Linked DNA regions of Saccharomyces cerevisiae S288C. The protein of the gene in region 1 binds, or shares a complex with, the protein of each later gene. Each region holds a gene or a part of one and is shown in the gene's direction. Other genes may lie near its edges. The genes, in order: CHS6 and BUD7.

Region 1 (4,985 bases):
ATGCACAGAATTCAGACATAGCGGAGGCCCCTCAGGTATTCCACCCTTCCTATCAATCTCTGGTCAACGTACCGTCCGAGAGCCCGCGACCTGATCAGACTTCAGGGTCCAATCCTGCCGTTGGACTGCTTCATAATGCAGAGGACAAAGCGTCAGGGCAAGAAGAAGAAGGAAGTCAATATGAGATTCAATATTCGGTATTTCGTCCGCTGCATGCATATCCAACCAAGGGCCTAGCATATGAGCAGCTCCGAAGAAAAGAAGAACAAGAACAGAGGGAAAACTTCAACCATTTGGTTTCTGACTGTATTGAGGCTGTAGAGACATTTGGACGCGAACTCGAGAGAATCCAAACTGGCTCAAGTGGGTCGTACTTTGTGTATGGAACACGGGCCGACGAAAGCGTTCCGGTGGGGGTCTTCAAGCCCAAGGATGAGGAACCATATGGCCCATTTTCTCCCAAATGGACCAAATGGGCACACCGCACGTTTTTCCCATGTCTGTTTGGCAGAAGTTGTCTGATTCCAAACCTCGGGTACATCTGTGAAAGTGCGGCTAGTTTGTTGGATAGGCGACTGGAAACGCATCTAGTACCCTATACAGATACTGCATCTATAGAGTCTTTTAATTTTTATGATAATAGAAAAAAATGGGTATTGGGATACAACCTTCAGAAGAAGAAACAAAAAAAGCTGGGTTCTTTCCAACTTTTTTTGAAGGAGTACATCAACGCCGATGAGTTCTTTCATAAATACCCATTACCTGGGATGTATTCAGATGTTAAACATTCATTTCATCGTAAGTCATCCGGCGAAGATATCAATCATAAACCAGAGACAACCAGGAACCTAACAGATGAGACAGAACCGTCCAAGCAAATAAATTCCTCTCCAATTTCGACGGAATCTGAAGAAAATTCGAAATTTGAATGGACAGAATCAAGTTTGAGTCAGTTCAGATTGGAACTAGAAAAACTAATTATCCTTGATTATATAATGAGAAACACAGATAGAGGTCTAGACAATTGGATGGTGAAACTAATCAAACTTTCAAACAATAAGTGGAGACTCAAGTTAGCCGCCATCGACAATGGGTTGTCCTTTCCCTGGAAGCATCCTGATGAGTGGCGTCTGTACCCATATGGCTGGTTGTATTTGCCTCTGCAACTACTAGCCAAACCATTTTCTGAGCAAATGAGATCTCATTTCCTACCGATATTGACAAGCACTAATTGGTGGGAAGAGTCGTACCAAGAATTCTTGGCCCTATTTAGCAGGGACCAAGATTTTAACGTCCGAATGTGGAAGAAGCAATGGGCAGTATTAAAAGGACAGGCGTTCAACGTTGTCGAAACATTGAAAGACCCACGACAAGGCCCCTTGGAATTGGTTAGAAGGACAAGGTGCCAGGTAATAGATGAGAAGATGCAAGTTCCCTGTTGCCCACCTCCAGTTTCTATTTTCAAAAACGCCATAGACGAACCTATTGGATCATATTCCACTTCACCAATGGTACTCCCTAGCACCCCAAGCACAATTCCATTTCATGCACATAACCAAAGCAATAGTAATCCTGTATACTATGATTCCACTCTGCACCCATTTGCTAATAAAACAGTGATAGCAGAGCGGCTACAAATAGTCAATTCCACCCCCGTATTCACCTGGTGTTGATTTTTTGGAAAATAATTCAATACATACTCAATATAAAGAAATCATAACTCTACTTTAGCATATAGGAAATAGACTCTTTCGAAAAAACCTCTTTCTGTAGTGTTAGAAAGCAACCGGCTATTATTTTTGTGTGTCTTCGAAAAATCGGAACCCAAACAGATCTTAGCGGATTCATGGTAAAAATAGCCTTGAAGAATTTAGGAAAATAAATAGATACTCAAAAAGGAATAGAGGATCTTAACAAATCATTACATTACTTAACTCACATTAAAAGCAAACACCTTTCTTAAGCTGTTGGTGCAAAAAAGGATTACATCTATTGCCCTTATGAATTTGTTTTGGCCATCGGAAACCAAAAAGCAAAATGAAATACCTGGTGGCGATTATACACCTGGGAACTCACCTTCAGTACAAAAGGGTTATCAATTCCTCAATCGAGACATATTTAAAAGTTGTCCACGAATTATGGAAAGGCAGTTTGGTGAGTGTCTGCACAATAGAACGCATTTAATCAAGGATTTAATTTCTTCTGGCAATGTTGGACTAGGTCCCATTGAGATTGTTCACATGTCCTACTTAAACAAACATGAAAAAGAAGAGTTTGGTGAATATTTCTACGTTACAGGGATCGAAGTTTCCGGTCCTGCAATGCCCGTAGAGTTTCTTGAAGTGCTAAAATCGAGTAAGCGGATTTCCAAAAATATATCGAATAATATCATATTGACTTATTGCTGTTTTAATTTTTTCAGCAATCTAGACATCCGTATTAGATACGATGCTGACGATACTTTCCAGACAACGGCAATTGACTGTAACAAGGAAACCACTGACCTGACCATGACAGAAAAAATGTGGGAAGAAACGTTCGCAAGTTCTGTCATCCGAGCGATAATAACAAATACTAATCCAGAGTTAAAACCTCCCGGTTTAGTAGAGTGTCCATTCTACGTTGGAAAAGATACTATCTCCTCTTGCAAAAAGATCATAGAATTACTCTGCCGATTCTTACCACGGTCACTGAATTGCGGGTGGGATTCTACCAAGAGTATGCAAGCCACCATTGTCAATAACTATTTAATGTATAGTTTAAAAAGTTTTATTGCAATCACGCCAAGCCTAGTGGATTTTACAATCGACTACCTGAAAGGACTTACCAAGAAAGATCCAATCCATGACATATACTACAAGACGGCTATGATCACAATTCTAGATCACATAGAAACAAAGGAGTTAGACATGATAACTATTTTAAATGAGACGCTCGACCCCCTTTTATCTCTGCTAAATGATTTACCGCCTCGCGATGCTGATTCAGCACGATTAATGAATTGCATGAGTGACTTGCTGAACATTCAAACAAATTTTTTGTTAAACAGGGGTGATTACGAACTAGCATTAGGCGTCTCTAACACATCAACCGAACTAGCCTTAGACTCTTTTGAATCTTGGTACAACCTAGCGAGATGCCACATCAAAAAAGAGGAGTATGAAAAGGCTCTCTTCGCAATAAATTCAATGCCTCGTTTGCGCAAAAATGATGGACACCTGGAAACAATGTACAGTAGGTTTCTTACCTCCAATTATTATAAAAAGCCATTGAATGGTACCCGCGAACACTACGACTTGACTGCAATGGAATTCACGAATCTCTCGGGAACGTTGAGGAATTGGAAAGAGGATGAGTTAAAACGGCAAATTTTTGGAAGAATCGCAATGATAAACGAAAAAAAAATCGGTTATACAAAGGAAATCTGGGATGATATTGCGATAAAGTTGGGTCCGATTTGTGGTCCACAATCTGTGAATCTGATTAATTATGTCTCCCCTCAAGAGGTCAAAAACATAAAAAATATCAATTTAATAGCAAGGAATACGATCGGCAAACAATTGGGATGGTTTAGTGGTAAAATATATGGGTTATTAATGGAAATTGTGAACAAAATTGGTTGGAATGGCTTATTAAACATCCGAACAGAAGCTTTCATGATGGAAACTGAATTCTATCAAGCTTCTAACAACATTATCGATGAAAACGGTCATATACCGATGGAATCCCGAAAGAAAAGGTTTTGTGAAGGGTGGCTAGATGATTTATTTTTAGATTTATATCAAGACTTGAAATTGAGCAAGATTAGCCTAAGCAATAAAGATGAAAAACACAGCGGATTAGAGTGGGAACTTTTGGGTTTGATCATGCTGCGTACCTGGCATTGGGAAGATGCCGTAGCTTGTCTAAGAACAAGCATAGTAGCTCGATTCGACCCCGTAAGTTGCCAGCAGCTGCTAAAAATATACCTGCAACCTCCAAAAAATATTCAAGAGGTTACATTACTAGACACAGATACCATAATAAGTTTATTAATTAAGAAAATATCATATGATTGCAGGTATTATAATTATTGCCAGATATTTAATCTGCAACTGCTAGAAAAGCTATGCAACGAATTGGGGACGCATATACTGCGTAATAAGATCCTTCTTCAACCTTCCATAGGAGACGAAATCATGGTCATGATCGATGCCATGCTTGCGTGGATAGCCGACCTAGATCACACAGTACAACCTTGAACAAAACGGTGCTCTTAGTATTATTATATAACCACTACGGTTGGATGGACTGAGGGTAAGGGTAACCGTATACCTTTTATTTTTTTTTTTACATTTTGAACTGGGAAGAAAATTTTTTTTGCGAGGGATTGACGGCTAACGCCAAAACACTCCGAAGAGAATGAGAAAAGCTTGGGCATCGCTCGAAGTCATCGAACGGGACTATTTTTGTTTAAAATTTCACCAGATCTGCTTGATAAGGGTAGTTTAGCTTGTGTATTTGGGAAAGGTACGCAAAAGATATATTTTACTAAGATCTTTAAATATTTTTAGCTTGAGGTAATACATGCTAATTTTAGTTGATTAGAGATTCTGAAAAATTCGTTTTAGTTAGTGTTTAAGAATAGTGGCGTTTATCGTTTTGCCCATTTAATAATTAGGAAAAAATATGTCAGGGTCCTTTTGGAAGTTTGGACAAGATTTTGGTTCACAGTCTCCATTAGCTAAACTGTTGAACAGGGCTTTCATTAAGATCGATGATAAGCCCACTAGTACGGAAGCAGGGAAAATTGACTCTAATAGCACAGATGAAAGTTTAGAAAGCAATTCTTTTAAATCAGAAGACGAAGAAGAAGAATATGAGCTGCCTAACAGAGAAGAAGACTACAAAGCTTATAAGCCAAACCTGTCTCTACTGAATGATCTTTTAGATGATGAGGAGTTATATACAGAACTGATGTGCTCGAACTTCAAGCTACTAGTGTA
Region 2 (4,687 bases), on another chromosome or scaffold:
AGCAAATATCTCCGACAATCTTTGAGATGATTCAACCAGAAATGGAGTCTGAAAACAACATAAAGGATAAGGACCCCATTGTTGTGATGGTAAATGTAAAAAAGCATCAAATTCAACCATTACTCGCATACAATGATGAGAGTTTAGAAAAGTGGCTTGAAAATAGGTGGATAGAAAAAGATAGATTAATCGAGTCCTTGCAAAAAAATATTAAAATTGAGACCAAATAAAGATCCTGAATCATAATATATACGTGTGTACTTCACTTTCTATAGAGGAAAAAAAGCTAAAAAAAAAAAAAAATGATAAAATAAACGAAAAAAACCATAAAACGATCATGATAGAATAATGTACATTATTAAGAATGCTTCATTGATGACATGCAGTGCGAAAAGAAAGGAACAAATGAAAGAAGACCTCTTCATTTCTTCTTTGGAGCTCCCAAAGGCGAACCGATGTTGTTACCTCTCAATTTAACGCCTAAGGCTCTTTCCAACTTAGACAAAACTTGTTGGTTTGGAATAGCTCTAGCGGCTTCATAATCGTTTACCACGGTTGGCTTTTCGTTAATTTTGGTTGCCAAATCCTTCTGCGACATTTTCTTGTCTGTTCTGGCACGCGAGATGGCCCTACCGACATTTGGATCCAATTTCTTGGGTTTGACAATATCTGTCTCACGGTCGACCTTGGTCAACCTCTGACCCTCGTTGTCACCCCTCGTATTGGTTGATCCGTACTTCTTGTCAACGGAAACAACCAACCCCTGTCTTCTTGCAGCATTAATTTGGCCTTGAGATCTGGCAACGTTGGCCCTTGGGCCAGAACCACCAGCTCTTGCTCTGCTACCAATAATAGTATTTGTATCCCAGTCAGACATTTTTCTTTACGATTTTGCTCGTTAACTTTTTTGTTTTCTAGCTTATTAGCTTTTACAGTTATGGAAGCGTAGATTCAACCTTCCCTAACACATGAAACTATTATTGGTTAAGCGACAGGCGCCTTTCCAGCTACCTAATATATACCACCACCGTCAAGGGGCGCCCGTTCATGAAAGAGGCAACGATGGTGATCGATTATTTCCAGGAATTGTTCCATGACGTTCTACGTGGTTCTCTTGGTCGGGTAATACAATCAGGGTAACATAGTCAGGGTAACAGAATCCTTGCTTCTATTACCCTCCAATGCAAAGTTGACTGGCGTACATTTGGGCCAAGTATCAGGCCTACCATCTTTTCATCAGTGTTCGATAAATGAGACGTAGTGACCCAAATTCAGTATGTCTTGATAGCTTAGTAAGACTTATAAGCATTTTCACGCATCTTGGAAGAAAGTTGCGAGCATTGCCTTAAGATTCTGTCATGCGGGTGTCGATAGCGTCACGTGAACACATTCCAAGTCCTTTTTTCTTCACCTTTTTCGGTACCTGGTACCTGAGCCAGGAATAGAAGAAGGATCTGAAAAACGTATGCAAATATAGCAAGAGGGCGTAAGCTTAGCCTCGAGGCAATGGCGTTTTAATTATTTTAAGATTTTTTTTCCATAAATAGTGCTGTTATTAAGTTGAAGTGTTTGAGAAGGGAGTGAGCGCAAAAAAATAAAGAACTAAGGAAGAAGAGCTTCCCTCAGATGATTACGCAGAATTCTATACCAGAGGTAAAAGAAGATTTTATTGGTTATGCTTTACATGAGAGAAGAATTCGGTTACCGCAGTTTCAAGACTTAGGGCCGGCAGACTTGGTCACACTAACAAAGTATTTGCCCACTTCAAGTAACACAAATGCCATAAACAGTACGAGTAGAAATGGTGCGGCCATTATTCAGTCCCCTGCAGCCGTTGTAGCCGATGACTCTGCCGCTTCCATGGCAACCAATGGCGATGCTAGTGACACCGCCGTTACCACAAATTATACAAATGCATCTATATACAGTAGCAGCAGAAATGCCAATGATGGAGCCCCGATGGTCGCTGAGCTCCATCCACTTGATAAACTGAAGGACGAAGTAGGGACATTTTTTTACTCAATGGGTGTCGATACATCCGGTCCAACTTCAATCGCAATTTTTTTGAAGGAGATTTCAGAGGTCATCAGCGAGAAACCCCAAGTTTGGTTTGGCAGGAAGAAAACCTTCAATGTTGCTCGAATTTCATTTTCCACTTGGAATGCGTTCAGGAGATGCGACATAAATGTCGTCGTTCATATTCCAGGATCGATTCAGAACTTTATAGTGGATTGCAACGGTGAAAGTCAAAATATAGAGATGTGTGCGGATTATGACTTAATTTGGGCTGAAACGTTCGTAAGTGGCGTAGTACGGTCAATCATGTTAATGAAGGAAAACGCTGAAGAGGGAGAATTACAAAATTTAGTGGAAACCTTGATTTTGAACCCGTTTACTGCAGGACAAATCGACGATGTACCAGAAATGTTCATTGATCTGTTCCCTATAGTTTACCATAAGGGCCCATTATTGGGAGCTCCGTATTATATTACCAATGTGACGAACACTAATAACTATTTGGTAGAAACACTCGTTGAGATAGTTAAGCTGACTCGTAATGTTAGCAGGGCGGAAATAATGTTGAAGAATCTGGCTACCGACAACCCTGAGGCGATCATAATACTAATCAAGATCTTTTTGGTGTGTGATCAAGAATTAGACGCAATAAAGCTCACATACGATATGCTTTCGCAGGATAAAATAATAAACAACACTAATAACCGCATGGATTATAAATCTGAATTACTGTGCTTACAAGCGCAATTTTTGATAGACAAAAGGCAGGATTACAGCTTGGCGCAAAACATAGCGCAAGAGGCAGTCAATTGTTCTCCCAGTGAATTTAGACCTTGGTATCTTTTATCCAAGGTGTATGTAAAGCTAAATGATATTGAAAATGCCTTACTGATACTGAATTCATGCCCTATGTCTCCATTAAAGGAAAAATACGTACTGAAAAGAGTAGCTCCGTTGCCTTCGAATAATAGTCTTCATTTGCCATTGCCAATTGACGTTGTACTGGATGAAGTGACGTCGTTGAATCCACAAGACGTTCAGAATGAACACCGCTCTGCGGATCCAATGCTGGTCAATTTAGCTGCGTCGAACTTGAAATCTACTTTCCAATTGGCATACCGATTATTGACAGAAATTGTGCAGATCACCGGCTGGGAAAATCTGTTAAAGTACAGATCAAACATTTTCGTTATGGAAGAAGAGTACCAAAAATCATCATCTTCGTTACCAAAGGACGTTAACAAACAAGAAGAACAGCCTCTGAGGGCTAAACGGCTGTGTGAACGATGGTTAGACAACCTCTTCATGCTTTTATATGAAGACCTGAAGATGTATACATTATGGCAAACCGAACAACTGTACATGGATGCACAGAATAACAACCACAATAAGTTGACTTTCGAATGGGAGTTATTTGGCCTTTGTGCACGTCGACTGGGCCATTTCCCTGAGGCCGCCAAGGCCTTCCAGAACGGTTTATCGCAGAGATTTTCATCAAGGTGCGCGAGGAAACTGCTGGAATATTGTATAAACGAACGCCAACGGGTCAAAAATTTTATAAACTCACCTAATTCGCATGACATGGTCCCTGAAATAGTAAGCTCACGCATAAGAGAGCTAGACAATAGCATTATCGACCTTTGCGTGAAGATATGCTGCTGGAACCACCGTTGGTATACGGAATTTTCCATAAGTTTACTTGATTGTTTAAGTGTGGTTATTCAAGATATGAGTCTGACCAAAGTTTCGAATGAAATCTCGTCAAGATATCCAGAAACTGTTCTCAACTTGGTGCAGGAGAATTTGCTCAATTTCTTCACTACTTGCACCATTGGATGCTACGATGCATAAATACGATAAAAAGACATTAATACGTATATATAATCCAAAAAAAATTGGCGATACGCTTCAACGTTGTGTCAAACTCTTGGGTCACTTTAAAGAAAACCCAGCATACATTAATACAGAGCAATGCTGGTTATGTAACTTCGCCGCCCGCCGCCATTCGAGGAAAAATATTCGTGTTTCGAGAATGCGGGCAAAACGAAAATATCAATAAAACACATACGGGAAATTCATTGTGCACAACGACCTCTAACAATTTCTGCCAAAAAGAAAGTTCAAGAGCGTCCCATTCATCATGAAGGAAGAGCTCAGCAAAGTGAGCAGTATGCAAAATTTCGAGATGATCCAGCGTGAACGATTGCCAACATTGTATGAAGTGTTAATACAGAGGACATCGCAGCCAGTTGATCTCTGGACTTTTTATACATTTCTTTCACAATTCCCATATGCCATCAACTATCTGGACTTTTGGGTTGACCTTATGACACATACACGACTTTGCAAAAACTACATAGAGTTGGTAAGAAAATCATTAATCAACTTTCCACAAGAACAACAGCAGAATGGAAGTACATCTACGGCTACATTTGACTTGCTGAACGCACTGATAGAAGAAGGGCACCTAGACCCGGAAGCACCTGATAAACTCTTAGAAAATAGCGGCCCAGACGTGCCCTTTTCACCAAAATTAAACGAATTGCTGGGTGATTGGAAGCACCAATCGGGTATCGGTCAAGAAGCCCTGAGAAACGAAGACGTAGCGCTGATCGTCGACGAGATAATGAAAAGGCGCTCCCAACAAGACGGAAAACCGCAGATAACTACA

What was found.
Region 2: CHS6 (region 1) and BUD7 share a complex: the UniProt entries of both Saccharomyces cerevisiae proteins name them as parts of the CHS5/6 complex.

The regions. Positions count from the first base shown.
Region 1 is NC_001142.9:237,414-242,398, forward strand, and holds CHS6 (Chs6p), read left to right. Parts: upstream 1-2,000; coding exon 2,001-4,241; downstream 4,242-4,985. Other genes in the region: 1-phosphatidylinositol 4-kinase LSB6, read left to right, coding at 1-1,673; SAP185 (Sap185p), read left to right, coding at 4,669-4,985. UniProt on the Saccharomyces cerevisiae protein: Member of the CHS5-ARF1P-binding proteins (CHAPS) which mediates export of specific cargo proteins, including chitin synthase CHS3.
Region 2 is NC_001147.6:876,809-881,495, forward strand, and holds BUD7 (exomer complex subunit), read left to right. Parts: upstream 1-1,626; coding exon 1,627-3,867; downstream 3,868-4,687. Other genes in the region: MUM3 (Mum3p), read left to right, coding at 1-230; MBF1 (multiprotein-bridging factor 1), read right to left, coding at 422-877; RAX1 (Rax1p), read left to right, coding at 4,157-4,687. UniProt on the Saccharomyces cerevisiae protein: Member of the CHS5-ARF1P-binding proteins (CHAPS) which mediates export of specific cargo proteins, including chitin synthase CHS3. May be involved in positioning the proximal bud pole signal.